Linked DNA regions of Kluyveromyces lactis. The protein of the gene in region 1 interacts with the protein of each later gene in a biochemical or structural test. Links are inferred from orthologs where the notes say so. Each region holds a gene or a part of one and is shown on either strand. Other genes may lie near its edges. The genes, in order: PKH1 and LSP1.

Region 1 (17,348 bases):
TTGACATTTCTTTACGAGTACTATAAAGCTAAACTTACTGTTTTGAACAGCAAGCTAATAGAAAGTTCCAATTTACCAATTACGGAGTACATTACCAACATGACATATAACAAGTCTCCTTTCAAAGAGTATTTGAAAAATAAGCTGGGTGAGAAAAAGGAATATGAGGGTTGCTTCGATGTAGGGACCAAGCTTCTGAAAATAGAAAAGGCTTTAAATATAAAAGAAGGTTCTATTATTGATGATATCGATGCTTCTTTCGTTCTACGAATCATGATCACAGATATCAGTGTATTAAAGGAAAAGATCGGGTTCGAAAAACTACTTGATATATATTTATCACGGAATGATTTTGCTACGGTGGAGTCCTTGTTACAAGCCAACGATAAGGTAGTGCTGAAAGTTATCGATCACTATCTAAGTCTCAACAATACTAGGGTCATTAGTCAATTCCTTAACAAGAATACGTGTTGTATAAACGACTCTGGGCTACTTATAGAAATTTTGGAAAAAATACCCCCAACCATTCAAATATCAGTGTTATCGGGTTTCCTATTTCCGTTACTCAGACGAAAAGACGAATCAACATATAATCTACAGATTAAGAAAGGAATTTTAAGGCATCGTACTCAGAATATAAACAATATCGAACGTTGTTTAGAACTGTGAAATAGTGTGATATATCATTAAGTGCATTGTGAAAATATATACATGAAAAATAGAGGTTAATCTTGTCTATAGGCGATCTGGCTTGTAATCAAGCTGTCAATTCAGAGACTGGTGCCAAACCGGAACAGACTTTTTGCAAAAGTTCTTTTTCAGTTGAAGCCAAGTTGCTTTGTTCTAAACTCTTTCTCACAATTTCGCTATTTTGCAGAAGTTGCTCTCTTTTGTCTTCTGCTTTTGTTAGTTTGGCAAAGTCCTTCTTTGTGTATGGCTTGAGAATGTGGAAACTACCCTTGACGGATTGCTCAAGTTTTTCTAGATCCGGAGAAATTTGGATGTTTTTTGTCAACGGTTCCACCTGCAATTTCAAAATGGAAGCTGGCACGTATTCACCAAAGTTGTCTTTGTTCGCTGTCATACGCTTACTGACGTTCTTTCCATTAATTGTGACACCATCATTCAATGAACGATGCACAGGGAAGTCGGCGTCTTTTAGTGTTGAAACTGCATATCTGAATGTCCTTGCACTGAAAGTTGGAGCCAGAGCAGGTCTGTATCTTAGCAACGATAACGGTGTTGGATCTTGTGGAACATATACAGCCGAGTTGTGAATATTTTGCACAACGTTTTCCGATCCCAAATTACTGGAAATTTTCAACCCTGGAACGGTTTTACGAGTTTTCCTTTCATCGCTTCTACGATTCTGTCTGGTACCCAAATTTTGAACTTTGCCTGAAATCTCACTATACTCATTAGTACCGGTAATCTTTGGTGTCTGTCTTTTAGCCGTACCTGTTTGTACTACCGGGCCATTGGTTCCTCTAGTATCCGTTCTTTGTGTTCTTTCTCTAAAATTTTTACCACCACGGTCTTGACCATTACGGACTTGTCTATTATCCCTGGGTTTATTTCCTCCGGATCTGTCATCAAATCTTGCTGTTTGTCTCTTATCTTCCCTCCCAGCTGACCTCACCTTTCTGTCAGATCTTGGTTTACGTGGTTCTCTTGCCTTGATAGGAACTTCCTTCACTCTTTGCAAAACTGATGCTAAAAAGTCCGGAGAGACAGAGCTATAAGCCCTTTTAGAGAATGTAGAAGCTAGCATTATTAAGTAAATATATTAATGCTAGTCACACACTTAAACAGATCACAACTTGATATAGCGTTACCTGGTTTATTACAACCCTATACCTAAATATCTCCGTGATACCATAAGAACTAATCAAGTTCATCATACTGAAACGAGTTTCGCACTCTCATAGGTTTTATGAAAGATCAAAAATTTTCAAGGCGTTCAAAATGATAAAAACACACGTGATCTAAATTTCTTATGATGACAGAAGGAATACAACATTCGGTGGGTTCTGACGTTTTGATATGAACTTAATACAACGGCGAGTACATACAGCGATATGCCTCGTCTAAAAATTGATGTTGTCAGTGGAAAGTCTAAAACAAGTCAATTAATTATTAAGAGGTGATATATATATGTATAGATAAAGCGATCAAGTCGTTTCAGATAATCTCGATTGGAACTTTCATCTCTGTAGCCAACTTTTTTAGCTGTTGAAGTTGTTCACTAGATGCTGCAGATCTGCCTTTCCGTACTTGGATGAAATCAATAAATTTCAACGGTATGTCCTGAGAAGTTAGGTAAACATTATTTAATGATTTCACAAGGTTGAGGCTGTCTAGCATTTCCTGGATCCTTTTGATATGGATGTAAACGTTACTAGAACTTCTCATTCCACTGATGACATCCGTATCTTTTCCAGTAATGCCGGGAGACAAATGAACATGGTTCCGTGACATTTTTTTGATGAAACCTGAGTGAAGAATTGAAATGCAGTTTGATACGTTGGTGCCATGAACCAATTTACTTGATAGTTGTTCTATGTTGGTAATTGGTTTTAAAACGTGTTGCGATGGAGCAATTTGCTTCAATGTATGTCCTTGTGTTGCACAGACGTACATTATCCCTGTATTCGGATCAGTTTTGATATGAAATCGTTGCTTGTCATTACTAGCAACAATATGCTGTATTTCTGTTGACGTTGCTTTCAAGCTTTTGAGTCTGTTATGCTGCAGTATTCTATCCAATGCAATGTAACCATCAGAATCTATAGGCAAGTTTTCCTTCACAGCACCATGTCTCAGCAAATAAGCCAATGCTTTCGAAATTTTCACACTTCTGTCCTTAGGTTCCTGCGAATGCGAGGTGTTCATAATGGTTCAGTTAAATCGAGCTTAGCACTTTCTGTTTTCCCCAATAGCTTTGACCATGTCGTTCTCTATCGGTCATACATAACTAATGGAATGAAATATATATGACAACGAAAAAATAATTGGATGGAACCTAATATGAGTCAGATGACACACACGAACGTATATATAGATGTAAACTTAGGAATTACAATGTGCACTGTAGGCACCGTACGTAAACGCCTTGAAGTTGCATAGTAAAAATGATAAAATAGAGTTTGATTAAATAATAGAGACCGTTGACCAACATAATTCGTTATGTACATGATAAAGTTCCCATATTTGGTTCACGAAACCTGACGGGGAAGGAAAAGAAAAAGAAGATGTAAATTAATGATTGTGTATAAGCAAAATACTGTAACAGAATGCGCCATATCAGGGACTGCAAAACGCATCTGGGGTCAAAGACACCAGAGTTAGTAGTCGAGTAATAGAGTCCCTTCAGAAAGGACGAAATCAGGGGAAAGACAGGTCATCAATCTGCCTCATAATTTGCTATTCTGTTCCAGCTGCCTATTTGTACAAGCCAGCACCACCACCACAACAACCGCCACCTTGGGCCGCCAGTGTCTTTTTAGTAGTCTTGATAGTTTCGTTGTCACCCAATTCAGTGTCCTTATGGATGTTCAAGTGATATTTGTCATCCTTAGTCCTCTTACCTTGAACGACATTTTGTCTTAGAAACTGTGCAACATCGTTCATAAGCTTGATCTGTTGATCAGGTGGAAGCTCTGGATTTGGTGGATTGACCATGCTTTCTCTCATCTGTTGTCTTGCTGCCATTAGCATGCGCAAGTCTCCTTTAAAAGCAACGCGGGCGGCTCTCAACCCGTTTCTGTAAGCTCCGAGCGCTTGAGACATCTCGTGTTTAATATATAAGGATCTAGGTGACTTAGTTTGAAGCTTTACTATACGGTTTTCTTTGTCTTATGAGACTCTTCTCTGTCTAGTTATCACAGTTGATATTCGCCATTCTCATTTATATATATATTTTTTTTTGTTCATATTGAAGAAAAAAGAAAACTGCATAATATAGTAAACTGTCGCCAGAGAATGTTACAAACGACGGAACCAACAATCAGCCGAGTGTAGCAACATCTGCGGTACTTGATGGATTGTCCCATTAAGGTTACTTTCTAATGCTTGCGCGTGTGTCTGTATTTATGTATGAGTTCATGTGTAAATTTCTTGTAAGAAGAATGGTAAGATATATGAGATAAAGTATTGGCATATCTCTTCATCTTATGAAGACAAAGCTCGAGTGATGCATACCAGTATGCATGAAAACATAAGATCCGAGGATGGCTCTGAAATGACAGATGGAGCCTAAAACCACCATTATATGAAATATTTGATGTGAGTGTCCGACGAAATCAAATTTCCCAGGCGCTAACACTTCTGGGAACCTGAACCCGTAAATCACTGCACCGGCAATATAGAACATCGCTTCTAACAAAACATACTTCAATTGAACTCTGCGAATGGCCTCATATGCACCAAATTTCCAAAACCCAGTAACAATTGGAACTATCCCACTCAAACCGAATGTCACGTAAAACATTGCTCTGAAGGGTCTAAAAGTCTTTGAGTTAAATTTGTCGTGTAGTGCAAACACAGTGCAGATAGTTCCCAGAATAACGGTGAATACGGTGAAACATTTGAAATGGAAAATGTGGTCGTGGAATCCATAGTATAACAATGAGATAATGGAACACGTAATCATAATAATGATTCCCATGTAGTCCACTTTAGACCAGATATGACAATGCGATTCGGAGTGCTGCTTTAAGCAATGGAAAAAGCTGCTGCATCCTAAGCACAGCACCGAACCCAATAGGAAGAAATGGATCATAACACTTTGCATCATAGTAGAGTTTGGAAATTGAGGGACGAGAAACATATCTGCTAATCCAACAAGGAGCACCAAATACGTAATAGTCGGGACCAAATGAGAGTAAATGTTTATCGATTCATTATGGAATAAGAATAACGATTTGACACATTCCTTTACACTTTTAGTTTCACGGATATACCCTGTAATAATCTTATCATTGTCTTGTTGCCATTCAGGAAGTTCACTATATCTGTATAACCTTTTTATCGTGCTTGAAATTGCAACAGGAGTTAACTGCTCTAATTTTTCAGAAATAGATCTCCTGTGTCTGATAGTCGTAGTAGCACTCATACTTGTCTTCACACAATTAATATATCACTGGTTGTTGGCAGCACTATGTATACATAAACTTCCCGCAACCTTAGAGTCTTTGTTTTTACTGAAGAATAATAAAATTGTCTCAAATCCAGCTCATCTCATCTCATGATATTTATTTAAGGTGCGAAAACTTCATTTTTCAACAGTTTTCATTTTATTAACCGTTAAGTTTCTTAAAAAATGCATATAAATACGTACTACCGAGAGGGCATTATACGAAAATCCTAACAGTAGTAACCACTAATCCTACTCTTGATAATCACCTTCACGACTATGATCCTTTTTTTTTTTCACACTCAAAGTTTTCTTGTACCTGAGTCTATTGATGTGTCTATGAATTTATATTAGTTCAAGTAATCTCAACACATTTGTTGAGCCCTTGCACTTTCGATTGTACAGCAAAGATTGATTCTTATGATCATCTCCATTTTTACAACCGGTTGGTTGAAGTACTTTCGTAGTAGTTAGTTTCATGGAACGATTCTGCCTTGTAGATACTTCACTGCTTTTATAACTATTTGCAAAAGTCTCGTTTTTATGTCCCTTTATCTTGTGCCAAAATCTTTTGAATTTGGTCCTCCGATGATTAAAATTGTCATTCAGAGAATCGTCACTATTGTGATAATATTTCTTAAAATCTCTGTATTTGTAAGTAGATGACTGCTTGTAGTCATCCAAGAGATTACCTCTACAAGGAGGGACCTTCCACGCCATTGATGAGATATCCGGAGTCAATGGTGAAATTGGTGAATTTATAGGACTGGATTTATACCTGTTCACCTTTAACAAGGAATCGAGTACAAAACTATCCGTGCACCATTCCTTTAAGTTATCAGGTGAAAGGTCTTTGAACCCCTGTGATTTGCTCCATTTCTTCAATTTGCTCTTGAATTTGATCCCATGGACGTATGCCTCTAAATCTGGCAACATGAAGACATTGTAAGAGGTTGCGTGTGCCATTTTTTTATGAGTATTTGGAGACTGTATATGATGATATTCAATTGGAACTGGCAAGAATAACAAAAGATTTCTGTCTTGTAATTATTTATAATAGTATATTTCTTATGTTATGCTCGATGGATCCCAGAGATAATGTCATTTATAAATGCTTGACATGCAAGTATATTCAATGACACATATGACGAACAATAACATCATCGTTAATTACTTTGTGTTCGGAAAGTAACTTGCTCGACGATCCTAGCGCTAGGTGTCGACATTCTCTGCATCTAGACGACAAGAAGCGAAAACAAACATCCACTTGTGCTTCACATGACAGTTGAAGCTCCACACATGACGAGAGTTTACGGATATACGTCCGTATTGAGACGCAAATATATATCACGTGACCACTAGATGTTACTTTAATAAATATGAACATTTGGAATTTACTTAACATTAACATTCAAAGCAAGAGAAAATACGTGGAGAAGAAGAGAGGAAAGAAAGAACGACAATCAAGTCTAGAAGCAATTGTGATAGATATACCCATTAGTGAATAAGGTATTGAGTTGCTAGGAATATTAAAATCCCCTGATTTTTGAATCGTCCTTTTTTTTGTCTGGCTTGTCTTCTTTTAGCAATTGAAGTTCTTCATATTTTAAGGTTTGATGGTTGAAGCATCTCCTTTTTTTGCATTGTAAACATACCCTTAAGCGAATATCAACTAACAGCGTTTTGGTATCAAATATTTCTTTGTTCAATATCGAAATTTGTTGCTTTGCATTTGTACTGATAAAAATACCATTCTAAGAGTTTCATCAATATGTCTTCTGAAGATTCTTTTAACAAACCCATTATACCTACGTCAGGATCTGCCAGATCTGTTATGCATAGACCAACGCCACCTCCAATTCCGATGGAACTATCACATCCTCCTCTACCCACTATCAGAACGACAGATGATTTATCTAACCTCTCAGAAATGAAGCCATTTGGGAAGCCGAATCCTCCTGTTTTAACTAAAGCATTAACAGACGTTGACAATTTTATCTCTTTGGATCCGAAGTATTTGAACAGAAGAAACGACTCTCTGTCTTCAGTCGAAACAATTGATTCCACGCGAGATGATAACATTTCAATACCTAAGGAATTACCCATTAGCGAATCAATGCAGCGTAGGCAGAAGGAATGGGCAGATCGTGGTGCTGCAATGATAGTGAAGGATGTTCCGGATAAGCAAACAGGGAAAATCACAAAGCAAGTCATCAAAAAGGGGATTAATGATTTCAAATTTGGAGAAACGTTAGGTGATGGATCTTATTCAACAGTGCTGCTTGCAACTTCAATTGAAAGTAATAAAAAATATGCGGTCAAAATTTTGAATAAAGAATACCTCATCAAACAGAAAAAGGTAAAATACGTTAATATTGAAAAGAATACCTTGCAGAGGTTGAAGAATACCAAAGGAATCATCTCTTTATATTTTACCTTCCAGGATGAATCCTCTCTATACTTTTTGTTGGAATATGCACCAAATGGCGATTTATTATCTCTTATGAGAAAGCATGGTTCAGTCAATGAAAAATGTACACAGTACTATGCAGCACAAATAATCGATGCATTAGGTTTCATGCATGACAAGGGAGTTATACATAGAGACTTGAAACCAGAAAATATCTTGTTAGACGTTGATATGAAAGTCAAGTTAACTGATTTTGGTACTGCAAGGCTTCTAGATAGTACTTCGGAGGATGACCTTAAGTACGATCTGTTGACAAGATCTAACTCCTTTGTTGGCACAGCAGAATATGTATCACCAGAATTGTTGAATGATAACTACGTTGATTTTAGGTGTGACATTTGGGCATTTGGTTGCATTCTTTTCCAAATGATAGCCGGGAAACCGCCATTTAAGGCGAACAATGAATATTTGACATTCCAGAAGGTAATGAAAGTTCAATTTGCTTTTACCGCTGGCTTCCCAATGACTGTGAGAGATTTGGTGAAAAATATTCTAATTAAAAACCCAGAAAGAAGATTGCTGATCAATCAAATTAAAGCTCACCAGTTTTTCGCCGATGTAAACTTCGGTAACGGCTCAGTTTGGGATAAAGACCCCCCAGAACTTGGTCCATACAAGGTTTCCGCCCGTGCTTTGCAATCCTCGGTACCGAAGGTGGCCTCGTCTCCGGCTATTAATCCAATTCATGAACCTGTTCGACAAAGCTCAGTATCACCGAAGATAACCCCTAAAAACACGACAACAGCACAAAGGCCAAATGGTGACACGACATCCACCACAACAAAACGTGAGTTAGACCCTAGAACACAGCGGATTTTGAATAATGTTAAAAAAGAAATTTCTCAGCGGAACCACAGACGGGCTGCCCTTAAACCATCACAACAATACTCCGGCTCTCCAAGCCAAGGTGATATCACTCCTAATCCTGCAACAGCAGCAGCAGCAGCTCTTCAGCAAATTAAGCAACCATTAAATGAAACGACAGCAAAATCTTCAACTTCTTCTGCGGGTTCTGGAAGAAGTCAAAGGAAACCTAGTGGCTCCAACCGCAGTGCAAGTACAAATTCATCATCATCCAAGTCTGCTCCTCCTTCATCGTCTTCTAATATCAGAAAAATATCGTCCGATTTATCTCCAATGAGTAAATTAGATATAATGTGGTCGTACTACTTAAAAAATATACAAGAACGTGTGATAAAGATGGGGGAGATCAATGTTACCACGCTCAAAAACCAAAGTCTTGAAGCGAAGATTAGCAAGTCAAAGCTCTCCCTCTTAGATGCAGACGGAAGGGTGCAGAAAAAAAATACTCTACTGACTCAAGTTGTTAGAGGAGGCGGAAATGTAACTGGCTTTCGTCAAGAGAACTCAAACTTGGTTGAGCATGACTTTTATAGTGAGTATCTGATTGATCCTGAAAATGTTGAAGCGAGCTATCGTAAGCAATCTGGCGCAGATGAGGCTTCGCATGAGGGTATGTCAAAATTGAAACATTTCTTTTCAAAGGCACCTGATGCACCTGCAGAATTTATCGCACAATCAGAATATATTAAAAGAATGTGTGTAATAACGACATTCGGAAGGTGCCTTTTATTTGCTAGAAAAAACAAAATTAATCAAAATTCAAACCTTTTCTATGATCTAGAATATGAGATAGATTTGTCACAGTTAGGTGTTCGCATAAAGGAGGTTGTACCAGAGAAGAAGACAAGTTCGAAAGATATCTTCGTTGTACAGACGCCATTCAAAACATTTGTATTTCAAACGGACGAATCAGATACCCTGGTATGGTTGCATTCCCTAACTTCAGCGATTAAAAGCAAAAATGAAAGATTCACTAATAATGAAACATCAATCAATCCCATTGCTAACAAAGCGGCATTACTAGCTGAGCAGGAAGCCGAAACACAACTTAATGGGTATAAAACTACAAAAACTCCTTTCCTCACTAAAAGAAGGTCCAGTTTTACCTCACAGAGACAAAAACAAAACAATAACGGGAAGCTGGGTACAAGACCAATATCAAGTGGATCTAGAATGCTTTCCCGGAGCGAGCAAATCTTTAGAACAAACAAATGATCAAAATTCTAGTAAGAGTCATAGCTCAATGCTCTAGAGAAGTTTGATGGGCACTTTCTAAATGTACGGTACTCTGAACTGCATTTGCTGATTGAAATTACAATGGATATCTGTATACGTTTATATATTGAAAAAGTACTAGAATTATTTAGAAAGAAACCTCCCAGATGGCCTCTGGGCCTAGTTCGTCATACTTCTCCCTTGTGACATAGAATGAATTGTTAGAATGCCCAAACACTTGCTTTGTTAAGATCTGGGCGCCTAAGAAGGTAATATCAGCGAAACCAATCTTCTTCCATTCCGAGAAATATTCAGGGAACTTTGGTGTCATGATGGTAGTTGGTGGCTGCACATATTCAATCTGATTTAAGATTGGAGCAGTGGAAACCTTCCCAATTTTCTTCTGTTTAGAATCTAATTTAGCCGCAGCATCCACCTCTCTTTTATACAGTTCCTCTTCTGGTTCACTAACTATATGGTCTTTTAGCAGCTGTGATAGAAGAGCTTCCCTGAACCCTTTTATATGTGATGTCCCTCCAACAATAATGACATTTTCCCACATTGCTTTAAGCTTGGTTATGTCATCAATCTGGCTCATTGCTTGTCCTACAGCTTTCGAGACATCCTTCAACAGATCTTCATAGCCTGTGAATCTCTGCCTGCTTACAGTAATACGATTACCATCAGTATCAAAGAAGTCATTTGTCTCTAATTTGCTGTTGTCCAGTTTTTCTTTGTTTTTGTTTCGTTCGCGCTCTTCTAGAATTTCTCGAGTATCACGCCCACTAGTAACAATTGTAGCCACATCTAAAGTACCTTCTTCGTCATCTTCGTTGTCGATAGCGTATTGATCCATGATATCTTGGGACAAAATTTCGTATATATCCGACCTTTTTAAATCCTCAATTTGGGACTCGGTGAGATTTGGTAAAGCTCTCTGTAGATTCTTATTTATCGAGTTTCCACCGGAAGTAATCTGTCTTATGAAGCAGGTTAAGGGTGTATAGTCCATAATTGGTACAACATCGGTGTGAAACTTGCCAATATCGATGATCAAACAATTTTGCAAAGAGCCATAGGCAAATGAATTAGCTAACGAGCTAGGTAATATAACAAAATGCTTCAATTTCATTGCTTCAAAAGCTGTTCTGCAAAGTAGTTCTTGTTGGAATTGAGTCCAAGAGTAATGCGAAATTAACAAAAATGGAATATTAGAAAGAGCTGTATCCCAAGCGATTGGACTATCGTCACTCTCCTGTTTTAACACAGATTTATAGATCAACTTTAGAAAATATTGGAACGCATCAATATCGACAATGCTTCCCTTCACAATGGGACAGATAACAACATCAGTAACAGAGGATGTAAAGTTACCATTTGCATCTCTGTAAACTTTTGTTGGAATAGAAATCGAAGGCGGCTGCAAAGTATCTTCTCCAATACCAAATTGAACCAAAGTCCTATTGGATCCTGGATATATTATCTGGACAAAAGTACCACATGTAGTAATGTGAGTGGATCGGTTAGTAAAGTTATCTTAGTAGTTTAAATAACTAATGTTTTCGGAATAATGAACAATCTGGATACCGCACATACGAAGTAACTGTCTTGTCTTAATGGTGCCATTTTTGCTAAATGGTTTCTAACAATACAACAAAGTGCTCGATTTATCGTAACAATACGAGTTACAGTTGCTAGGTCAATGACGAGACTTTTCCTATCCAAGTAGCTAATTCAAAGTATAAACTTGTTTATCTTCTATTACTTTTTGAATTTTTCAAATAATGAAAACAGTTATCTAGCTAACATTAGCCTACTCAATGATGAATATGACACGCGAAACATTGAAATTAGTTCTATGACACGCAAAAGACCATACGGAAAAGAGATTGATACATAATGGAACAGTCTATCAGGAGCATAGACGGTTCTAGATCTTTGAGCAATGTTGGCGCTTCACTTATAGATCGTGAATCGATCAATCAGAGAGCACTACAATTATTACAGAGAAACAGAAGAAGACGTTTGTTGTTAAATAGAAGTGAAGACAAAGCAAGATACATCCAGCCCGAGCGTTCTGCTAGCAGCCAGCAGATTCACCCTCCAGAGCATCATATCAGCGCACATGAAAGAATAACAAAGGCTCGGGGAACTAGATATAAACCTACTGACCTAGCTTTGGCAGAAATAAGGAAATATCAAAGATCCACAGATTTGCTTATATCCAGAATGCCCTTTGCGAGGCTAGTGAAAGAGGTAACAGATCAATTCACTACCGAGAGCGAACCTCTTCGATGGCAATCCATGGCAATTATGGCTCTTCAAGAAGCAAGTGAAGCCTACTTAGTCGGTTTATTAGAGCATACAAATCTATTGGCACTTCATGCTAAAAGAATTACAATTATGAGAAAGGACATGCAACTAGCTAGAAGGATACGAGGTCAATTTATTTGAAGCAATCCTTCCTATCATTTAAAGTACAGATTTATCTGCTCAGCTTCAATTTGCTAATAGTTTGATGTCTATTGGAAGAGCAGAAATTATATATAAGTATAGAACTTTATATTGGTTACATATGGTTACAAATTCATTATTTAACGGGTGAAAATGGTCAGAAAGGAAAGCGTCCAAGGTGAAAGTGATGTACATCAATTTATTACTTTCACGTAATTCATTGGTACCAGACCATGCTGTTTGTTACCTTGATATACCTCACCCACATACCAGTCATCATTTATGCATTCGACTAACAGCAGGATATCACCAGAATTGAAAAGTAGTATGTTATTTTCATTGGGTTCAGTGTACGAATACATCGCTTTGACATATTTTACGACTGGATTTTTCATGGAATCAACGATGGGTAGATTCAATTGTTCACCATCAATAGTCACACGTTTACAACGCATTATATTCAAAGAGTTGCTGAAAGGCAACACTGTTCTGCTCACAGTTAAGTTGCTAGAAGCACCAGAGCTCGTTCTTGATGTCATCGGACGATCATTCATTTCCAAGATTTCTAATGCTGTTTCGACATCCGATGCGATGGATTTTCTACGATTTGCAGTTGGTGGCTTCAGAGAGTTGTTATTGTCGTTGTCAGAAGTATCCGTATCCATTGTGGGCGAATACATTGATGAAGGTCTAGATTTTCTTCTATTGCGTGAATTCCAAGATTTAGCAAACCTTTGAGAGTCATCGACACTTGAGGCCATGGATGAGAGAGAAGTCGACATGGAATCATAACTTGCCTTATTTTTCCTATGAGTAAAGTCCGTTGGATTTGAAGAAGTCTCTTCTGAAGATTCTGATAATGTTGCTCCATGTCCTGGCTTTGTAACCACTTCTAAATAGTTTTCAACGGAATGCGGAGCAGAGTTATCATTTAGGACCTTCGATTCTATGGAATTAACAAGGGCAGCATCAGTTTTTGGAGTTGGCAACCCTTTATCGACACTTAATGCATTTATTGAATTGAGCCTGGTGTTCTTCAGCTGGGTTGATAGTCTTTTTATATTTTGAACATACCTATCATTCTTTGTTAAATCCAACGCCTTGTGAGAACTCTTCGGACGGATCACATTAGATGGGTTAGAGTTAGCACTTGAGTTGTGCGTTGAAACTGAGTTAGAGTTTTTCAACTTGATTCTTCCAGTACCATGGTGGTAAGAAAAGTGCGATATTTCAAGTTCAGGTGTGAAGCTGGAAAGTTTTTGTTTTAATTGTTCCATCAAAGAGAGTTCCAGTTCCGAAGGCTGGGTTGTAAAATCAGCGTATTGTTGTAGTAATTCCCTAGAGACCTGGATTCTTTGTGTTTCTAAACTTTGCAATTCTCCACTAATATGTCTCCATTCCTCAAACCAATGTGCTCTAGCAGCTTTACATTCATGATGTAAGACGGTTTTCCTACGGTGTGATTCTTCCACTATCGAAGACCATTTTTCCAATTCTCTCGCATTTTCTTTCCTTTGGTATTCGCCCAAGGCAGTTTCTTTGTTGAGCTGATACTCTCTCAGTTTATTCTCAGCACTGAGTAATTCTTGATCTATAGATTTCAAGGCTTTCTTCTTTTCATCTTTCAACTTCCTTAAGTTTTCCACGTTTCCCGTTATCGTTGACCATCTGGCTCTATATTGCTTTAAGAAATCACTCATCGTACCGACATTTTCCCTGTTGAGCCTCTCATATGCCTTAGAATGACCATTGGCTATTGTCTGCTGGGAGGATTGGAAATATTTTAAGGATTCAGACATATTATTGTAGTCCGCATATCGTTCGAGATTGTTCATTATTCTTGCACTGAGTGCTCCTAATCTTCTTGCATAATCCATCTCCAACTCACTTCTCTTAGTGAAACAATCGAGCAATAACTCACAGGTGCATATACCTCTTCCAACATGCTGAAGAAGAACGGTAACACCTTGATCGTCTTCGTCCCAGAAACTTTCTTGATAGTTGTATATTTGAGTCATTCAATCGATAGCTTTCCTTGCTAATACCTACTCTTTGTTATGCCCTCAACTTCCCTTCAATTGTAGATTGTTGAATGACAAAACAGATACCGTACATCTAACTTCAATCCTTGTGAATTGTTAACATACACCGAACAAAGTTTGGTGAGAGAGCCAGAACCATCCATCTCTACAACTGAATACAATCACTGTGATAGTGCTGTTCGATGATGTTTACATTATTCCTGATTGGGGAATAAGTTCAATCACGTGACTTATATTTTTGTTTGTTTATTGCAAAGCAAGTAATAATACCAAAAAGGGAAATTATGCTTAATTCTGTACCTCTATCATTTTTGTCTGTACCGGCCGTACAAGAACATGAAAAGAGAAAGCGAGGATAAATAGGAGAGCCTAAAATCCCCATAATCTCTGACGATTACCCTGGTATATGGACAGCACCGTCTAATGACTTGAGAGTCCAATTAAATTCCTGAATTAACCCATCGCAAAACTCTCTATGTCTCCTTTGTGATATGCTTTAGCTCCGCACGGGATTGCAATGAAATAATTAGCAAAAACGTCGTGAGTATTTTCTTCCTGCTAAGAACCATCAAAGAAGGTTCACAGAAAACAACGTACAAACTGTATATCAGGGTAACCAGCCGAGTTTTCCCCTGTTTTCATTACGACATTGTTCCCAAATTGAGACTATTTCTCTGCAACACAGTACATACAATGATACAATTCGTAATAGCAATCGTCCCCTTAAAAACGGCAAACAAAGATGACAACCAAGGCACCAGCTCAACAGCAAGGGTTCCAACTACACTGAGGGTATAAGTTTCTGCGGTACCTCAGCTTGGTTCCTTCCTTTTTTATTCTCAATTATTCTGGCCAGTTTTTTTTCGCCAGGAGTCCCTAAAAAGTCACTCTAGCCAATTTTTTTTTCTTTTAAGTTTATTTACTTTGCAATATCAAGAAATTATATATCCTTAATTATAGGGTTTCTAATCAACAATTCACTTTAGCATATATTCGCTTCGTTGCTTTATTATAAAACAAACGTGAATTCAAGTGTATTTCGTTCGTAATTACAAGTAAAGGTTTATCATAGTTACGTTTACTCCCACTAGAAAGAAGAGTTAATACTAAACTTCTCAAAAAACGGGCAAAGGATAAGCAAATTACTGATATCGAAATCAGAACGTGAACCAAGTCCTATTGTGTTTTACAAATTTGAGAGGAACATAAACCAAAAAACTACACTACTTGGTCGCTCAATTGTACGAGTCTAAGGAACACTTTCGCTTTTTACTTTGAATTATTAGTAGCTAAGAAAATACCCAGATATATTACCAGAAACAGAATGTCTTTAGTTTCTGCGGTAACTGGCGACGAATCCAGGGATACTAATGGTGCAGAACAAAGTTCTGTTTACCAGAGTGCCGGTAAACCATTATCCAAGGAGGCTCTATACAGAGCAAAATTGAAGTACGGTGTGTTCCAGTCTCCAGCTCAGTCTCTGAAGGCCGGCGTGGTTAATGGTAAGGATGCTTCAGATACTGCTGCCAATTTGGCAACGAGCAACAAGACCACCATCGAAGCCTACAAAAGGTTATTGAATCCAAATGCTTCGAAGGCAGCTAATGCGGTCATTACTCCAAAGAAAACTGACCAATCCAGACCAGCCAGTGCTGTAGTTTCGTCTGCTGCGTCTTCTGCTGCAATTGCTGCTCCCAAGGCTGCTAGGTCTAGGACCTCTAGTACAGCAAGTACTACTGTAACCTATGTCAATTCCAGTTCTTCTTCGCCATTGCACTCTAAGACACCAAAGATGGATATTACTAAAGTTTTGGCGGGTGCTGAAAGAAACGCTGCTGAAAGTGTTCATCAACGTACTAATCCAGAAAAGGTTTCTTATGTGAGAGGTATCACTGATCGTTCTGTGGGCAAAGCTGCTGATGCAAGTTTCTCTCTAACTTCTGATATTGTATCTAATTTACCTACCAAAAAGGAGTACATCCAATCCGCTGAAAAGGAATCTCATGCAGCTGAATGGGCACAGAAAGCTGTTGCTGCATTGAAGGATTTCAACCCGGATGATGTCACCGACAAGAACTGGAGAGAGAGGGAAGAAGAAAGGAAAAGGCTTATCAAGAACTTGACTTCAGAAACAGTCCTAACCAAAGCTAAACTGAACGCTCAACAACGTTTGGATACCATTGATCGTGAGACTTCTCAAAGGGCTATCTTTAGAAACGCGGAGTATAACAGGGCTGCTGCTAGTGTCGCTCAGGAAAATTTAAGAAAGACTCGTTCTTCTGCTTCTGCTACTGCCAATAAAGTAAATTTGGGCGGTGGTTTATGGCTAGCTCCTGATGATATCGATAATATTGCGAAGGGTCTCATTGCACCAGTGCTTGATGAAGTTGACCAAAGAACCGGCGCTCAACGTGCAATGGACATTGATATCCAAAAAAGAAGCGTGGATTACCAACAGCAATACGAAGAATGGGTCAATATTCAAACTGAAAAGCAAAACAATGATTCTTTGCTACAGGCTAAAGCTTTCGAAAATCATCAGAAGGAAACTGCTGATATCGAAGCTACTTTGGCCAAAAAGTTCCAGAATCTTTGTACGCAGAAGGACAGTGAGGTCGCTAAATTAAAAGAGGCACTCGAAGCTAAGAAGGCGGAACTTGCTAAATTAAAAGAGGATAATGAAGAAGAGCTAAAGAGAGAGGATGAAATGATTACAACAGAATGTGCCGACTTACAAAAAAGCAATGAAAATGAACTTGAACAGGCTAAGAAAGACCAGGAAGAGTTACTGGTTCCATTCAAAAATGACCTCGCTGCTGCAGAAGACCATCACACGGAGTTACAGGATCAAAAGGGTAAAATTGAAGAAAATATCCAGGAGCTTCGTGATTCAATTGAAAAACATAAATCTCATGTAGAAGAATTAAATGCTCAAATTGAAACACAGCAACAGCAACTGGAAACAGAGACTGAAGCTTTAAATCTCCAGTCTGAAAGCCATCAACAGTTGAAAGATGGTATCGAAACCAATTATGTCATAATGGCCGAAAAAGCAAAGGAAGAAGCCAAGGTTTCCAGTGAAGAAGCAAGGGTCAAGCAATTGGAAGTAGATGCGATAATTAACGAACGTCAAACTGAACTATCAAACACCGAAATTGAAGTAAAGAGG
Region 2 (15,909 bases), on another chromosome or scaffold:
TGTGGAACTGAAAGGCGTAGAGAATCTAACCAAAATATTCCACGATTGGATTTTACACGATAGAGCAAGATTCGATCACAGCGTAAGAGCATACGTTGCATTTATAAAATACTACTCAAAGCATACTGCATCATCGATCTTCAGATTCCACTCCATGGATTTCATCGGCGTTGCGAACTTTTACGGGTTGTTACGTCTGCCACGTATGCCCGAAATAACCAGGTATGCTGCCGACCAAATTCCGGAGGAAGGTTGGTTGGTATCACCACCAGTGAATTTAGACACATTTGCTTACTTAGATAAACAAAAGGAGAAGGCGAGGTTACAAGAATTACAAAACCTCAAGCAAATAAGCGATAAAAAGAAACTGAAAAGTGAGCTAAAGAAGAAGAACATGGCATGGTCCGATAAGACACTAACTAAAGAAGCCAAAGCTGAAAGAAGAGCAGCTATGGCCATCAAGAGGAAGGCAATTGAAGAGAAACTTCTGCGGGGCGATGAGGAATCAGAAGATGAAGTTGAGCAAGACTGGAAAGACCTTGTAAGACAAAACAAGAAAAAGAAGCATAACTCCATGCAAGGAAGTTTCGATGATTTATAGTCAATTACATATCGTAGATAAATCTATTATAATATAAATGTGCTTGTTTCATTCGAGTCCCCGTCATATAACAATGTGTTTTCAACCGGTACATATTGATGTGTCAATAATTTCACGCATTCTTGTGATACCATTGCACCAAGAATTGATGCCATCGCAGGGCTGACAAACGTTGTATCATGTCTATCGTTTTGTAGCGATAGCAACTTATTGAACTTCGGTTTTTCACTTATAGTTCTAGTTGCCGATGAGAGGCTACCCATTTTAATTGCATCCAAATGTTTTAAGTTCTCGAGCATTTTATCTATGAGTGGTTCAGGTATCAAACTATAATTCTCCTTTGCTAGAATGCGCATGATTTCTGATTTATCCTTGGCAGCTTTACGTTGATATACTGCTTTCTGCGCGTTGAATAGTTTAGTTGAGGATTCCATATCTGGAATGAATGCGGACACAGGTAAATCGCCTCTCAAATCGTAAAATATTCTGATGCATCGTACAAATTGGTATACCCATCGATTAATTGTAGAATTAGGTTCAGCATGAAAACTATTCAAGATGTTGGTCAAATTGTGAGGAAATGGTCCTGATTGATCGTATAACAGGAATGAGGACCTCTCTGCTTCCACAAAGTTCAAATCATTGGTCAAGGGTCCAGAGAGTATAGAATCGTGAAGTTCGATGAACTCTGCCCTCACTGATTTTCTATTGATAGGAATATTCTTTGACTTTAATGATTTTCCCACATTGTACAGTAGAACGGAATAAGGCAAGGAGGATACCTCTTCCTGTGACATATTTTTTACATCGAATGATTCGTGATATTCTGCTAGTTCAGGCCACATACGATTGAGTCTTAAATCGAAAGTGAAATGTCCATGAGAATCAATGACACAATGAGGTTCACTGCCTATAAGACGAACAAATCCCAAGTTATCGTTGGTGGATGCCATTATCAGAGGAACTGCTGAGAGTTTCATGACACGTTGTAACAACGGACCAGCCGTGCACAAACATATGACAATAGAGAAAGAGTTCCATAACTTATGTTGTGAATCAATTGGAACTGCATTCTCGTTCCAAATATGGAACGTAACATCTGGATTCATACTTTCTAACGCATCAAAACCTAAAATATCCGAGTTTGACTTGTTCACAAAATCTGATCCATTAGACGAGCCAAAAACTACAGTAATCTCATGAATACCCATGAGAGCCAAACTCTTGACACATTCTCGCATCAACAATGTCTGATTATCGTCTACAACGCACACATGAGACTGAGAAAGTAAATCCTGGCCTGAATGGCCCCAGATCATCAACTGTCGATCATAACGGTCATCCAAACCACCATTTATCTGATCAGCCATAACCTGTACCAACGCCCTTGGTCCTTGATCTTTAACACTAGTTCTAATGCAAGAGAGCCCGCCTTGATTGGAATCAAATGACGTATTTATCATGAGATGAGCTTAAAAGTTCAAGCGAATCAGTTGGATTACCAAAGTTCAAGCTAGATCAACTGCATACCGTTACCCGGACGAGTACTTCAGCATTACCCTAAAACTTCATAAGAGACTCTAAAGAGCCAACATAAGGCCGGCAATACACTGTTAGTTCGTCATTTCCTGGCCCTGTTTTTGCTACGGCTATATCATAAACCAACACCACCATCACCAGACAAAGCGGAAGCAGGAAGTACTATAATATCATCCACCTACATACGATTCTTTCCAGTCTCGAATGATAAGCCGAAAAGAAGAGTCGAACAAAAGTTTCTGAAGAAACCAACATAGAGAACCGTGCCCGCAATTTGCAAAGAAGAGAAAAATTGCGTGGCTCATGCCATGTCAATGTCCCTAGAGAAAGTAAGTGTGGGTCATGTTCTGTTTCTCTTTCTCTTTCTATGCATTTTTTTTTTTTATTTGGGAATAACTGAAAAGGGCAATAGGCAGTAAAAAAATAATCAGAGTTTCTTGGCCTGGGACAGAACCTTTTTTGCTATCTACATATAACTTTCCTCTATATAAAGTAATTGATTATCTTTCTACCTGTCTTGTTTTCTGACGGATTAATTTTAGGGGTCTTACGCAGGTATATCAAGTAAACTTCGATACATAGTTTAATCTAGTTGAATCGAAATTTTTTTTGGGCCAATTTACTCTTCTAGTGCTGCTTTTAGATTAAGAAATAGGGGAAACAGAAAATATTCGATATCAAGAAGTTAAATTAAATACCGATACTAGTCTCCAAAAATGCACAGAACTTACTCTTTGAGAAATAAGAAGGCTCCTACAGCTTCAGAGCTCCAAACTCCAGCTCCACCACAATCTACTACCAAGTCTAAGTTTTTTGGTAAGGGTTCTTTTGCCTCCAGTATCAGAAAGAATACTGCTGGTCAGTTCGGCCCATTGTTATCTAGAAAGCTATCCTCTTTAATTAAGACCGAAAAGGGTTACTTGAGAGCTTTAGAAGTTGTTGCTAGTGAACGTCGTGTTGCTGCTAAACAATTGTCTCTATGGGGTTCTGAAAATGACGATGACGTGTCTGACGTGACTGACAAGCTAGGCGTTCTTATCTATGAACTGGCTGAATTGCAAGACCAATTCATTGACAAGTATGACCAATACAGAATTACTTTGAAATCTATCAGAAACATTGAAGCTTCTGTGCAACCATCAAGAGACCGTAAGCAAAAGATTACTGATGAGATTGCTCACTTGAAGTACAAGGACCCTCAATCCACCAAGATCCCAGTTTTGGAGCAAGAATTGGTTCGTGCTGAAGCCGAATCGTTGGTTGCTGAAGCCCAATTGTCTAACATTACCAGAGAAAGATTAAAGGCTGCTTTCAATTATCAATTCGACTCTGTGAGAGAATTAGCTGAGAAATTCGCATTAATCGCTGGTTACGGTAAGGCCTTACTAGAACTATTGGACGATTCTCCAGTGACTCCTGGAGAAGCTAGAGCCGCTTACGATGGTTACGAAGCTTCAAGACAAATCATCATGGATGCCGAATCAGCTTTGGAATCCTGGACCTTGGATGTCGCTGCTATCAAGCCAACTTTGTCCTTCCACCAAACAGTCGATGATGTTTACGTCGATGAAGATGGCGAGGAAGGTGAAGCCTTAGCTGCTGAAGAAGAGTGGGCTGGTGAACATGAAGGTGGCCAAGAAGAAGAAGCTGTTGAGACTACTGAAGTTAAATAAGCTCTCGCGATCACATGCGTTAGTTTATTTTACCAATGCCGCTACACTCACTTCTTTAAAAATGTATGTGGCTAGCGTATATTGGAATGATTTATTGTAGAATCAAATACTCGTTCCTGCCGTGTACGTGCCCTCTTTAACTTTTAAAAATGAATTTTTCCAGAGAGCTCGCAATGTTACTGTGTGACAGGTAAAACGGTAGTATGTGAAGTCCGTTATACCATTGCTACTCTCATATTCTATGTAATAAAACATTTCTATATCTCTTTTAAGTAACACTAACTTCTAATATCGTGCTGAGTTAATAACAGCCATTGGAATTCGGTCGTAATATCGATCAATCTGTTTTGAATTTTCCTGCTGGCTTCTCTAGGTATGAATAAAAACGGCCAATAAATCACAGGAAATAACACTCGAAAAGTCTTTGGATTTAGTGGAAAGTTCGAGCTAGCAAGGATAAGATACGGAACAACGTGATAATTGATTCAAGTATCCTTTTTAGAAACATAAGTATATTCATTTTAAAAGAAGCAGTCAGTTAAAGTCTTAATAAGTTAAGTTAAAACAATTTACATAGCATGAAAAAATTGAAGGAGCTTCATTTACCAGGTTTTGAACCAATTGGGTAATAATTTGGGTCATTCAAATATTTCAAATCCTCGACTGGTCTTTCTGCCAATGGAGTCACACGGACATGGTGTCTTGTAGATTCAGAAGCATCGAAATCATATACACCAGCATGATACAATCTACGATTATCCCATACAACTACAGTGCCCGGCTTCCAATTAGCCCTAACTTGAGCATCATGAGCATTATCGATAACCTGATACAAAAATGCTAGAAGAGCATCTGATTCAGGTTTCTTTAGTTCGACAATTTTTCTGGTGAACACTTTGTTGATGTTAAGGACTTTCTTCTTCAAAACTGGATGGACTCTTACCACAGGATGGATAACGTCATAGATTTCATGTCTTGAAATGCGCTTGGTAGGATCAGGAGAAAAGGCATCGCCGTTTGGTGGTAACGCGTGAACGGCATGTAATCCACTCAAATATTCTTGCAAGGATGGCGACAATCTATCAAAGATTTCAATCGCATCACCAAACAAGGTATCACCGCCAGATTGAGGAGCATCAAGCACTGCAAAAAAGGTATAACCGGATGGCTGTAATTCAAATGTGATGTCTGTGTGGAAATACACAGAGGTCAAAGTTTGTTCGAAAAATTTGTCATAGTCTTCTGTTTTCACATTTTTGTAAACCACATGAATATAAGGATGACCCTCTGGAGCTGGGGAAGCGTGATGAACGTGCAATTCACCAAAATACTTCCCATACTCTTCAATGTATCCAGGACCTCTATCGACAAAGTCTTGATCTCTAAAAATAAGAACACCTCTTTCAGCAGTCAAAAGAGCTAGCTCATCCTTGCCAGCATTATCCAACTCACTAAGTTGAAGGCCCCTAATTTCAGACCCCAGTTTTGGAGTAATAGGACTGATTTCAACACCACTTGTCAACAAATGGGGAAACTTTGGATTAGCTTTCAATGCAGGATCCTCATACTTAACGAAAGAATGTGGAGGGAATTTCTCATTAGGATCCCAGCTTGGTAGATAATCTTTGTATTTAGCTTGTTTTTTTTCCTTAGCGGATGTTCTAACGACACCGTCATCGTCAGCGTTCAATTCGGCGGTGATAATTCCTTTGTTGGCTCTCCAACTTTCTAAGGTTGATACAGGCATCGTGTTCTGTAGTTGTATTGACCTTCAGTATTGATCTTTCGTCTTTTTACTGATGTGAAGAAACGGTGCCCAGAAAAAGAAGCTCAATCCCATCTTCTTATATACATATCATTTTGATGTCATGTAGTGCAACAAGTACACTTATGAACGTTCCTGATGTATGATACGAATAAAGGCTCGCTCTCCTCTCGACCGGAATTTATGCGGACGGAGTCATCCTAAGTCACGGAAAGTCTAATAATGACTAACGTCAGCCGTTCAGACGTGCATTCGGCATAAAGGGCTGAAAATGCGACCAATACACTTAAGATAATATCACGTTATAATTCATCAAATACAGTGAGAAAACAATGTCAGAGCTCGATCGTTTTTCCTCTACGACTTTTTTTCACCCGTCAATGACTTAGGAATAGTTTGTTGATTTGAAATATCAATGTCTTTACTGAAAGATAGGAAAAGACACGACAATTTCTCTATATCTCCAGATTCTATCACTTGTGGCCACACAAAGAACTTCCTAGCCTTCTTCTGAACCTGGCTACCATAACCTGGTGAACTGGAGTTAAAGTTCCAATAGTGATGCAGGATATCGATTTTTGAGTCACGTGTTATTCACAGCAACAGCGAAAGGACATGCATAACAATGTACTAGTGGGTGTTTTTACAGGGTTTGGCTGATAGTCAGACGAAGTCTAATTTGTTCCGTTATATGGACTATGATTTTTACTGTGAAACCTCAAGTACGAACGTATACCTATTCATCAATGTTAATGTGCGATTGAGCCGTTAACAGAACTTTGGTGATAAGTGTAGATACATTTACGAAAACATTTTCCATGTCATTTCCGTGTGTTAACACTTTGTTCATATGGGTGAATCACTTATGGCTTCTGTCTGGGTACTAGACATTATTTCCTTATTCACACAAAATCTAGCTGTTTAGAGTAGATGGTTTGATATGGGCAAATATTATTGTTTTATGCTTTAAATTTTACGTATTTCAAAAGAAAATCGATGTATAGAAAAACAGAGTGCACACCACTCGCGCAGCTTATAACAACATATTGGATGTCTGTTTGAGACTTTTAAGCGTGGTATTAACAGGTTAACTTCAAGCTTTCTGATGTCACTGAAAATGGCTCATGATCGATAATTTGCTTGGAGAGCCCCAATAGGATTCTTCTCAAATCCGCATACAACAGAATTGTAAGTTGAATTATATATCAAATTATGTTCTCACTTAACCCATTGGTTCTGGAATATAACTGATCTGATTTATACAAGCTCTATACGAGTATGAATTCTGTAGTTCTCATTGGCATTACCCTATCAGTAATTTCAATCTAATCGTATAGTATACACTGGCCTGTAACATAAGGGTAAGGTACTGTTTCAGCAATTTGCCCCCCGGACTTAAAAAGATCACTTCCAAAAAGCCCATATCCTTAGGGATTACACATTTAACTACTGAAATGAATTCTCAAAGCTTTGAATTAGTTTAGTTAGATATTCTATTAAATATCTGACATTTGTCAAATAGTTGGTTAATACTCAGGGCAGCTAATATCACGTGAATTAACCATTAACAATGTGTACTGTGCTATATCGTAACTCAATGCTGCATCAAAGAACAGACAGATTTATACGGTGAACGTTTTTGGGAATTGAGGATATGGAACTAGAGGTTTGTATCATAAGCCACCTCTGACATTAGCATTTGATGATCCGTAAAAGCGAATACTGAGCTAGTAGCTGGGTTTTGAAATTATGGCTTACAGCATAAGTTACATGCTGAGCTTCCTTCGAGTGTTCAAAGTTGGCTGTCAACACAGTTAAGGTGGTGCTGCAATCGTTTTGGCTGTAATTGGCGAGAAAGCGGCTGCAAAAACTAAAAAAGAATCAAATTGTATTTCGCGTCATAGGTCGTCCGAAAAAGTCACTACTGTGATAAATGAGACAGAATGTACTGGGTAGTCTATCTTTGTTTATTTCAAAACAGAGAAGCTACATATGTCTGTTAAATTATCAAACTATCAATAGACGGAAAAAGACATAAAACTGACATTCGGTAAATTTTAATAATGAGATATGAAGCCACTTATTTGTTCACTAATCGGTATTGATGGCTTAGCAAGTGTTATGATAGAATATCCATAAAGCTATACTGCGAATGATCAATAGTTGGTAAAATACGATATCTATCTCATATGTATTTTTTGAAAGCATTATGTGTCCGTATAAAACATTGAAACCTGTAGATATGTATGTAAATTCTTTCGCTCAAAATGAATAATGCCGATGATTCGACATCTATGCATCCGTGCGGCAGGCCTCGAATATGAAAGATGAAATAGACGTTATTTCTTGCGCTTCTTTTCTTTTATTTACAACTGCTTGGTTTTGATCCAACTTATCTGCACCAACTTGCATATTTTTGCCGACGCAGAAAACCTTGCAGAAAACTATTCTGAAACTTCTTTCAAACCAGTTGTGATGAGAAACATAGCATTCAGGCACATTAAAAACCCGTCAAGGAAGGTGACTGAAAATAACAGATTCCCACAATTATGTTCCAAAAACGCAGACAATAAATAGCGGGTTGGGTGCATAATTCTCATCACTGGTCATCTTAATAGGCTTAGGATGGACCGAAAGCTTGAAAGTCAATAGGGCTTTTGTTTTGTGTCTACTGTGAAATATCAATATAAATATGGGGTTCAGGTGAGTCTATGATCTATTGAATTCTCGATGGATTTTTTTTTACCTTTCTCTGTTCTTTTCTAGTCTCTTGTTTACTACCAATCATACTGTTTTGAGTTCAGTGAATTGACTCAACAGAACGACTCAATACCCCAATGGAGTGTAAATAAAAATAAGGAATTAGAGAAAAGTTCTTCATGGGAATGATGAAGCGGTCTACATAGGACACATAAATTAGAAGTTTATAGATACAAAAAACGAAGGGAAGTATAAACATAAAAAGAGAAACAAAAAAAGACTGGACATCAATTCCTTTCTAAGTTATCAATGTCTACGCCTCAATTTCTTAATACGAGAAGAGATCCATTCTGAGATTGGATCCTCACCCTCAGTTTCGACACATTCACCTTCATTCAATTGTTGGCCAAATTCATTGACTAATTTCGGGTCTCTAATACAGAAAGTCAAGATCAGCATGGGCACACAGAAGACTAAACCAACAAGAACTTCGTACCTTTGGACGTGTTCGTAAGCTTCAACCATAGCGGCCCTAATTGGAGTACCCCATTCATAATCCAGAATGAAATCCAATGGGGAATCGTAGGCAACAGCGGCTAGATCCGCGTCTCCTCCCAAATTCTTTAGCAAACGTGGGTACAGCAAATTGGTCCAGATAGCACCAGAAACGGAAGAGCCAACAGCACCACCAATACTAAAAATGGTCATCAACAATGCGGTAACGGTAGCCATATGTTCGTGGGAAGTGACGGACTGAGCCGTTGTGACTGGGTAATCGTACATACAGCTTGCAACGCCCCAGACAACCATGGCACCAATGACACCAGCAGCAGAGCCAATACCACCTCTGTAACGGAAAAACAGACCCATGACGACGAAATACAAGCAGGCTCCAAAGATCATGTAAAGCTTTAGTCTTCTAGTTCTAGCAACCATGAAACCAAAGACTGGAGAGTAGATACCCGCGACGAAACTGTACAAGTTCATAATTCTTGTTGCAGAAAGATCAGTTTGATTCATACCGACCAAAAGAATTGTGTAAAGGTAACCAGCTGCCATTACATAAACGAAACAGACCAAGAACATCATCCACATTGGAGCCCAAATACCACGGTCCTTCAACAACTTGAATGGAGCAAATGGAGCCTTAGCCCATTGACTTTCCCAGTAAATGGTGACAGGAACAAGGAAAACCCCAAGAACTAACGGTCCGATGATCTTACCAGTTTTCCATTCGTTCTCAATACCACCAGCAATTGTCAATGGAACAAGGATGCAACCCATAGATGCTGTTAACAAGAGTAAACCAATGATATCAAGTTTCCAAAACAATTGGACCAAAGTTTGAATGAGACCATGGGTTTGATAGAAAGTCTTTTCTTGTTTCAATTCCATCCACTCTGGAGTCTTGCTTGCCTTCTACCTCATATGAAGTACACAAACGATTAATGGGATACAACTTAAGGGGAAGATGAATGCCCACATTGCAATGTTCCAAGACCAATTTTCCAATGGGTTGGCTACCTCGACGATGTTACCGGAAACCCACATGTTAATGATAGCTGGCCAAGCAGGAACAAAGTTGTACAACACTCTCCATCTCAACGAAGAGTTATCGGACAAGAACAAAGTAACTTGAAGCATTACACCAACAAGTCCCACGTTATAGAAAACGGACCCGGCGCAATATTTCTGAATATCATACGCTTGCGATTGAATCACGGTACCAACAACGTAAAACACAATGGCAACGATCATTAAACTCAATCTACCAAACACGTCGGACAAACCAGCAAAGAAAAGTTGTGCAACTGCTGAAATCATCATGTTCACAATACCAATGGTAGTTAAAAGAGAATGCGTATCATAATCATTTGCTGCATAAGTCATATAAATATCTCTGATACTACTGTCCAAAGAATAACCATACGAACAAATAAAGGCGGACAATAAGAATATAGTCTGGTAGAACCACGTATCATACTGCCTGGCCATGATTTCAGCCTTACGAATGACAAGAGACTTGGTAGCCAACAACTTATCGACATTCCCGAAATCATTAAGCTTTTCAGGCGTCAAGCTCTCATCTACTGCAACCTCTTTTTCATCGTTGTTGAAGCCTTTATTGATGTTTTCATCCTTCACAGTAATACTGCTTTCTTCAGCAACCGACATTGTGTGTTAATGCCTGTTCCTGTTTACCTCAGTAAGATTAATATACATAATATACCATCCCCGGAAAAAAGAGGACAGAGATTCCCAATGAAAATGAATTCTATGCAACCATTATATACAATACGAAGATCGAAGATCAGAATAAGACTTGTCATGTGTAAGAGAATTACAACGTTCTTCACACAGACTAAATCCAAGGGGAGAAAGAAAAGTATTGTGAAAAATATCAAAAACTTGGGTGTCAAATTTGTTTCTTTAAAGTGCTGAAGCGATGAGATGAGATATAGAACAGAACTGACATGGCTAGCAGCAATAATAAACACTAGAGAATGGCAGCTCTTCCGATTCCTTACCCTAAGAAAAAAAAAAAAATCTGTTTCACTAAAGGTTTCGAGCCTGTTTTCTTATAACCACTCAGATAACAGAGTAGGAGTCGACCCAATTTTGTTTCTAAGAGCCAAGAAGCCATCGGATGCATGCGGTTCATCCTCCCAAGTTTTGGTTTCAAATGCGGTTCGCATAAGATCTAAACCAGGTGCAATGGGTGATATCTTGATCTAACAAAATTGGCACAAAGCAAGATTTTGAGTTGTAATCCATGTCCCGTGAAATTTTCTTTTTCTCTTCTATGTAGAACCAGCCGTACGAACAAGCATAGTAACCGTAGGTTGCCAAGGAAAAGCTCTATTTTGGTGAAGTGAAAAGAATGAAATACAGTTAAAGCTTTCATTTACATTGTCGGAAATACAGGTCTTGGCGGATTACCGTAGTAGTATTGTTTCTGTGCCATGTTATTGAACACTTAGTCATATTATTACTTGGGCTTGGGGCTCGGCTAACGATCTCCCCCAATCTCAGTCACAGCAGTGCGAGATTATAGATACATGCGAATCGTTATTGGGTGTTTTCTTTTGAGAATGTCGGTAGTATGGCGGTGAGTCACGTGATACTAACAATCAACCACTAGTGTGAAAACAAAAAAGAACAAGGATAAGGCAAAAAGGCAACAGGCAAAGACAACCTTGGCTGCTTCGGCCGGAAGTTGAGAATCAGGTGTAGTGTGTATATGTCTAGTTCACGGCTGATAAATACATTTTCGACAAATTACAATAATAATAATAATAATAATAAATACACGGTTTAGCTTACGTGATAAATTAAGGCAGCAACAACAATGAGCTCGGAGGAAGAGTATATATTGGTCACTGAGTGTTAAGAACTTAAAAAAAAAAAAAGGACAGTGTTTTTCACCATACTTGAGCCTCTTCGAAATAGTCAACTCTGTATTTGGAAACATCTAAGTTGTTTGCCACTGTATCTCTGATTTGATCGTTCATTGGTCCTGGACCGCAACTCAAAATTGCTGTAGAACCAATAGCGTTGTGAAGATCTTCCACAATTAAGGATTGTAAGTCTGGTCTACCGAATAAGAAGTTTATTCTGGAAAATTGCTTGAAAAAATTGATTTCGCAATCTTGAGTTGATTCTTTGACGTCGAGTTTCTTTTCAGAGTCTGTTTCGCCAGCAGATGACGCAGAAGAATCTACGATTTGCTGTGTCGGCTGGGTAATATAGATGTTGATCTCACCTAGCCGGTCTTGGAGTCTCAATAGCTCTTCTCTAAACCATTCCAGTGGCGAAGTGTCTCTAATGATCCAGATCCATTTAACAGTATCGGTGGAACTTTCAGAAAGTGGTTTCGTTAAGGCATCGTAATTGGAGTATCCAGTTGGTACACCATTTCCACCAGTGATGATGATAGAATTGGAATAGTTCTTCAATGGGGCTTCTAGTCCGTAAGGGCCTTCAACTAAAACGTTGATCGATTGGCTTTTATTAGATGTGTTGGCTAGACTCTTAGCTAAGGATTTGGTGAGACCTTCCTTTACCTTGGCGTATATGTAAATGTGTTTCCCGTCACTGTCGTCGTCATGAGCTAAGATGGTGAATGGATGCGATTGCCAAAATCCGTATGGTCTCATGAAGTAAATGTAGACAAAAGCACCTGGGAACGGTTTCCAAGTCTTTGGTCTCGGAACTTTGATTTTGATTGTGTTATCTTCCTCGAACAATTCGCAATCTGCTTTGCTGAATACTCCAAACCATAGTAAACGGCAGACTCTGAAAAAATGGTCTGCACACCAAACAGCAATGGAAGCATACACGTATTCCATCCATTGGCCGCTAAAGATTCTTAAGTGATACCATAACCCGGAGATGTACAAAGCAGAAAATAAAAAGTGAATAGTCTTGAAGGTTTCATACCATCTGATACGGAAATATGCAGACGCTAAGAATAACATTAAGCCACCAGTGATTGTTGCAATTGCACCCCAATACCAATACTGCTCTTCCCAGCTCATAGCAAGATAGTCCATTTCAAGGTATGTCCAACAAGCAGAATGGATTAATGCATGAACCCACATCCCTCTTGCAATCCATTTATGATACACCAAGAAAGTTTCGTATGGCCACCCAGTTAAATACAACAATAGGTTATTTCTACCAGATAGTAGGAACACAGCAGGTGTATGGATTGTTGACATCACCCCTGTTCTATACTGAACCAAGCTAGATGTTTGCATGGCTACCTGATGTTTACTAGTGGTGTAGAAGTTGTCAGAAAAGATATCGTAATTGATACAACTTAGAATCACGTTCAAAGCAAAATAACCGAACAAAATGTACGTCTCTGCCCTTGTAGGAATAATACCTAAGATCAACTTTTTCCATCTAAGGATTTGCGTATGTTTGGTATTTGCCGGTGGGATGGTGAACAACCTTCTGAACATGTTTATCTTGGGTCCAACGATTTTTTCAACAAGTTTTGGACACAATATTCTAGACCAAGTAACCAATCCTCCAATAAACATACATCCAGCAAAATAAATGAATATGGCACCACCATAAAGCCTGGTATGCTTTTGCGATTGTGCTCTGGTCACGTAGGCTCTAGTGTAACGCTTCACTTTCCTTCTTGGCGCAATGATGGGAGAAGTCAGATTTGTGGATGCATTGAATCCTGGCGTATTATCGACGTCAATAGCTTCTGATTTAACTTTTGCATACAGTTCATGCAAGCTCTCGACGGTATGGTTGTATACAGGCTTACTATACTGACATCTTTTTATCATTTTCTCCAACATACTATCTAAACGATCGGGTTTCTGGTTATCAACGTTGCAAATAAGCCAGGACTGGAATCTGTTTCTTGTCGGTTGACAATTTGGTGCGTAAAGGGAACCAAGATCGTTGTTGAAGGTATATGCCTGCAATGCGTCTAAGCATGCCCAGTACACACTCTCCTCCTTGGATAGGAAAGTGTATTTGGCTGCATGACACCAAGATGATAAAAATATGAAGAACACAACCAGGGAATTTCGGCAGCGAACTTGCATTTTGTACTCGACTCGATTTAACTTTCACTGGTTATATATTTCGCCCTCTGAAATGAAAAGGAACATAACAAAGCTATACATATAGATCAAATCTTGGAATATTGATAACTGGACTGCAACAGTTGAAACAATGATGGAGTATTTATACAATTCTATCCATGCAACTGGCAACCGATAAATAGAGCAAAGACCATCGAGCTTCTCGACCTGGGCGGATCGCTCCGTTAAAGGCCAAGATTCACATCATTCGGGGTGTTATTCGTCTATCGGTGTTGTCTCGGTTTGATTCTCTCGTAGGCTAAAATCAGTTAGCTGCACTGAAAGGGCTTGACTCTCGCAAGTGTATAACCGCAATTGGCAATCGAGCATTTAATGATCTTACCACCGATCCAGTGAAATGCGCAAATGTAACAACAGTGCCAAGCGTTACCAACGAAATCATCGACTTAAGCTTTATGATTCAACATAATACTACTAAAATCTTCAAATTTTGTGGAAAAATTCCTCCTTCATCCATTGAACCTTGAGGCTCATACATCATGATCTGCATATTGTTTATAGCTAGAGCTTGTTTTTAGTAGGAAAAAATGGGATAAGGGTCATAAATGCCAAGAAAAAAAGGGTGCCATTTTACATTAAGTATACCTCGAAAGTATAAACAAATCAACAATTTAGACTTTCATCATCTTGAATCAAAGTATCGTATGCGACGTTATTACTCGTAGTTGCCGACGTAGAACGGAAAAAAATCATAGCTTCACAAAAAAAAGTGAAACAGAAAAATTGGGTGTCACTAATAACTTACATGAAATTGTCAGGGTATATCAAAATTTCTCCTCTTATGACTTATGGACGCTCAAAATTTCCACCAATTCTTGTCTTTTTCTGGCTGTCCAGGAGAATCTTATTGCGGTATGCGGTTGTTGATATGATCTTAGTTCGATGTAGGGTTCATAGAATATCACCTTGTGGAATCTTCAAAAAGAAAAATTCCAGAGCCCTTAATCGCCAAAAAAGCCAAGCTTAAAAATAATATAGAGTTTACGGTTTTTAAAAAAATTTCCACATTGGCGCTAGAAAAACCAAAAGAAGTTCGAACTTTAAAACGGGCGATAGACAGGGGATTCGACAGTTTTGATCTTTTTTTTACCTTAGGTTATCAAATAAAATTATTCAATGTACGTTGCAGCCTCACCATCATCGATGCAGCATGTATTGTTTAATGCTTCACCAGCAGGGTCGTAAAAGCTTGCCCGTTCTCGGAATGGTTTGTAGATAATTTTATGCAGGGCAACAAAAAGAAAAAAAAGATACTTTGGAGAGGACTAAACCAAATCGTTACAATTCCACCTAAAAACTGACAATGCTCTCCGAGGTAGAAATTACTCAAGTGGTTTCTTTCTTTTTCTTACTTTCCAATTCACTACAGAAGGTAAGAATGTGAATCGTTACAAAAATGCATATTTTCACTCATAGCTATTCGAAAATATTTGATGGAAGTGCTTCAAACGTAAATTGTGCTGTGTTTTAATGTGCCAAATGATATACACCTTTTTTGTTAGTTTGTATTTCATCAAGTGAAAAATGCGATTGAAGATTTGTTGGCCGTCTCGCCAGAAAAAAGCATCTTATTTTTTTCCACCATCAAGGGTTCACTCAACTGGAAAGATTGTGCTTACCCATCAGAACATTACTTTTAGGTGTTCACATTACCACGAGCCACACAATTGATGAATATCTCAAGGAACTCTTTAATATAAAACCTCACTCCATTTGATCGGTTGAATTCGTTTCCCATATTGACATGCCGGGCTGTAAAGCCAAGAAAAAAAAAACGGGTCTGGAATTTTAGACCCTTTTTTGACTAGCAAAGCCCGAAGAAAATACAAATTAGAAAAAAAGCTTCAAACGGTTAAGTATACCAATATATCTGAGATAATATGCTGAGATTTCTTTAGAAATTTACGTTGATTCATGGCTGGGTGTATTTTTCAAACAGAACGGGAAAGGGATTAAACAGGTCACGTGGACACTAGGACATCATGCAAGACATTTCTA

What was found.
Region 2: the proteins of PKH1 (region 1) and LSP1 form a complex in vitro, tested with the Saccharomyces cerevisiae proteins (2 studies listed by BioGRID, with this or other methods). The link is inferred for Kluyveromyces lactis from reciprocal best matches to the Saccharomyces cerevisiae genes PKH2 and LSP1.

Annotation. Positions count from the first base shown.
Region 1 is NC_006039.1:1,053,262-1,070,609, forward strand, and holds PKH1 (serine/threonine protein kinase PKH1), read left to right. Parts: upstream 1-6,905; coding exon 6,906-9,683; downstream 9,684-17,348. Other genes in the region: CORVET complex subunit VPS3, read left to right, coding at 1-669; mitochondrial 37S ribosomal protein mS46 RSM28, read right to left, coding at 758-1,771; TPT1 (tRNA 2'-phosphotransferase), read right to left, coding at 2,182-2,892; MZM1 (Mzm1p), read right to left, coding at 3,442-3,789; IZH1 (PAQR-type receptor), read right to left, coding at 4,166-5,113; KLLA0_C12463g (uncharacterized protein), read right to left, coding at 5,480-6,100; ARP9 (Arp9p), read right to left, coding at 9,832-11,166, 11,280-11,309; centromeric DNA-binding histone H3-like protein CSE4, read left to right, coding at 11,583-12,137; formin-binding protein HOF1, read right to left, coding at 12,332-14,155; LPX2 (Lpx2p), read left to right, coding at 15,504-17,348. UniProt on the Saccharomyces cerevisiae protein: Serine/threonine-protein kinase which is part sphingolipid-mediated signaling pathway that is required for the internalization step of endocytosis by regulating eisosome assembly and organization, and modulating the organization of the plasma membrane.
Region 2 is NC_006041.1:1,270,091-1,285,999, forward strand, and holds LSP1 (lipid-binding protein LSP1), read left to right. Parts: upstream 1-2,856; coding exon 2,857-3,813; downstream 3,814-15,909. Other genes in the region: ATP-dependent RNA helicase SPB4, read left to right, coding at 1-601; ULA1 (Ula1p), read right to left, coding at 628-2,064; KLLA0_E14433g (TauD/TfdA dioxygenase family protein), read right to left, coding at 4,412-5,560; KLLA0_E14477g (ferric reductase family protein), read right to left, coding at 11,701-13,851. UniProt on the Saccharomyces cerevisiae protein: Together with PIL1, main component of eisosomes, structures at the cell periphery underneath the plasma membrane that mark the site of endocytosis.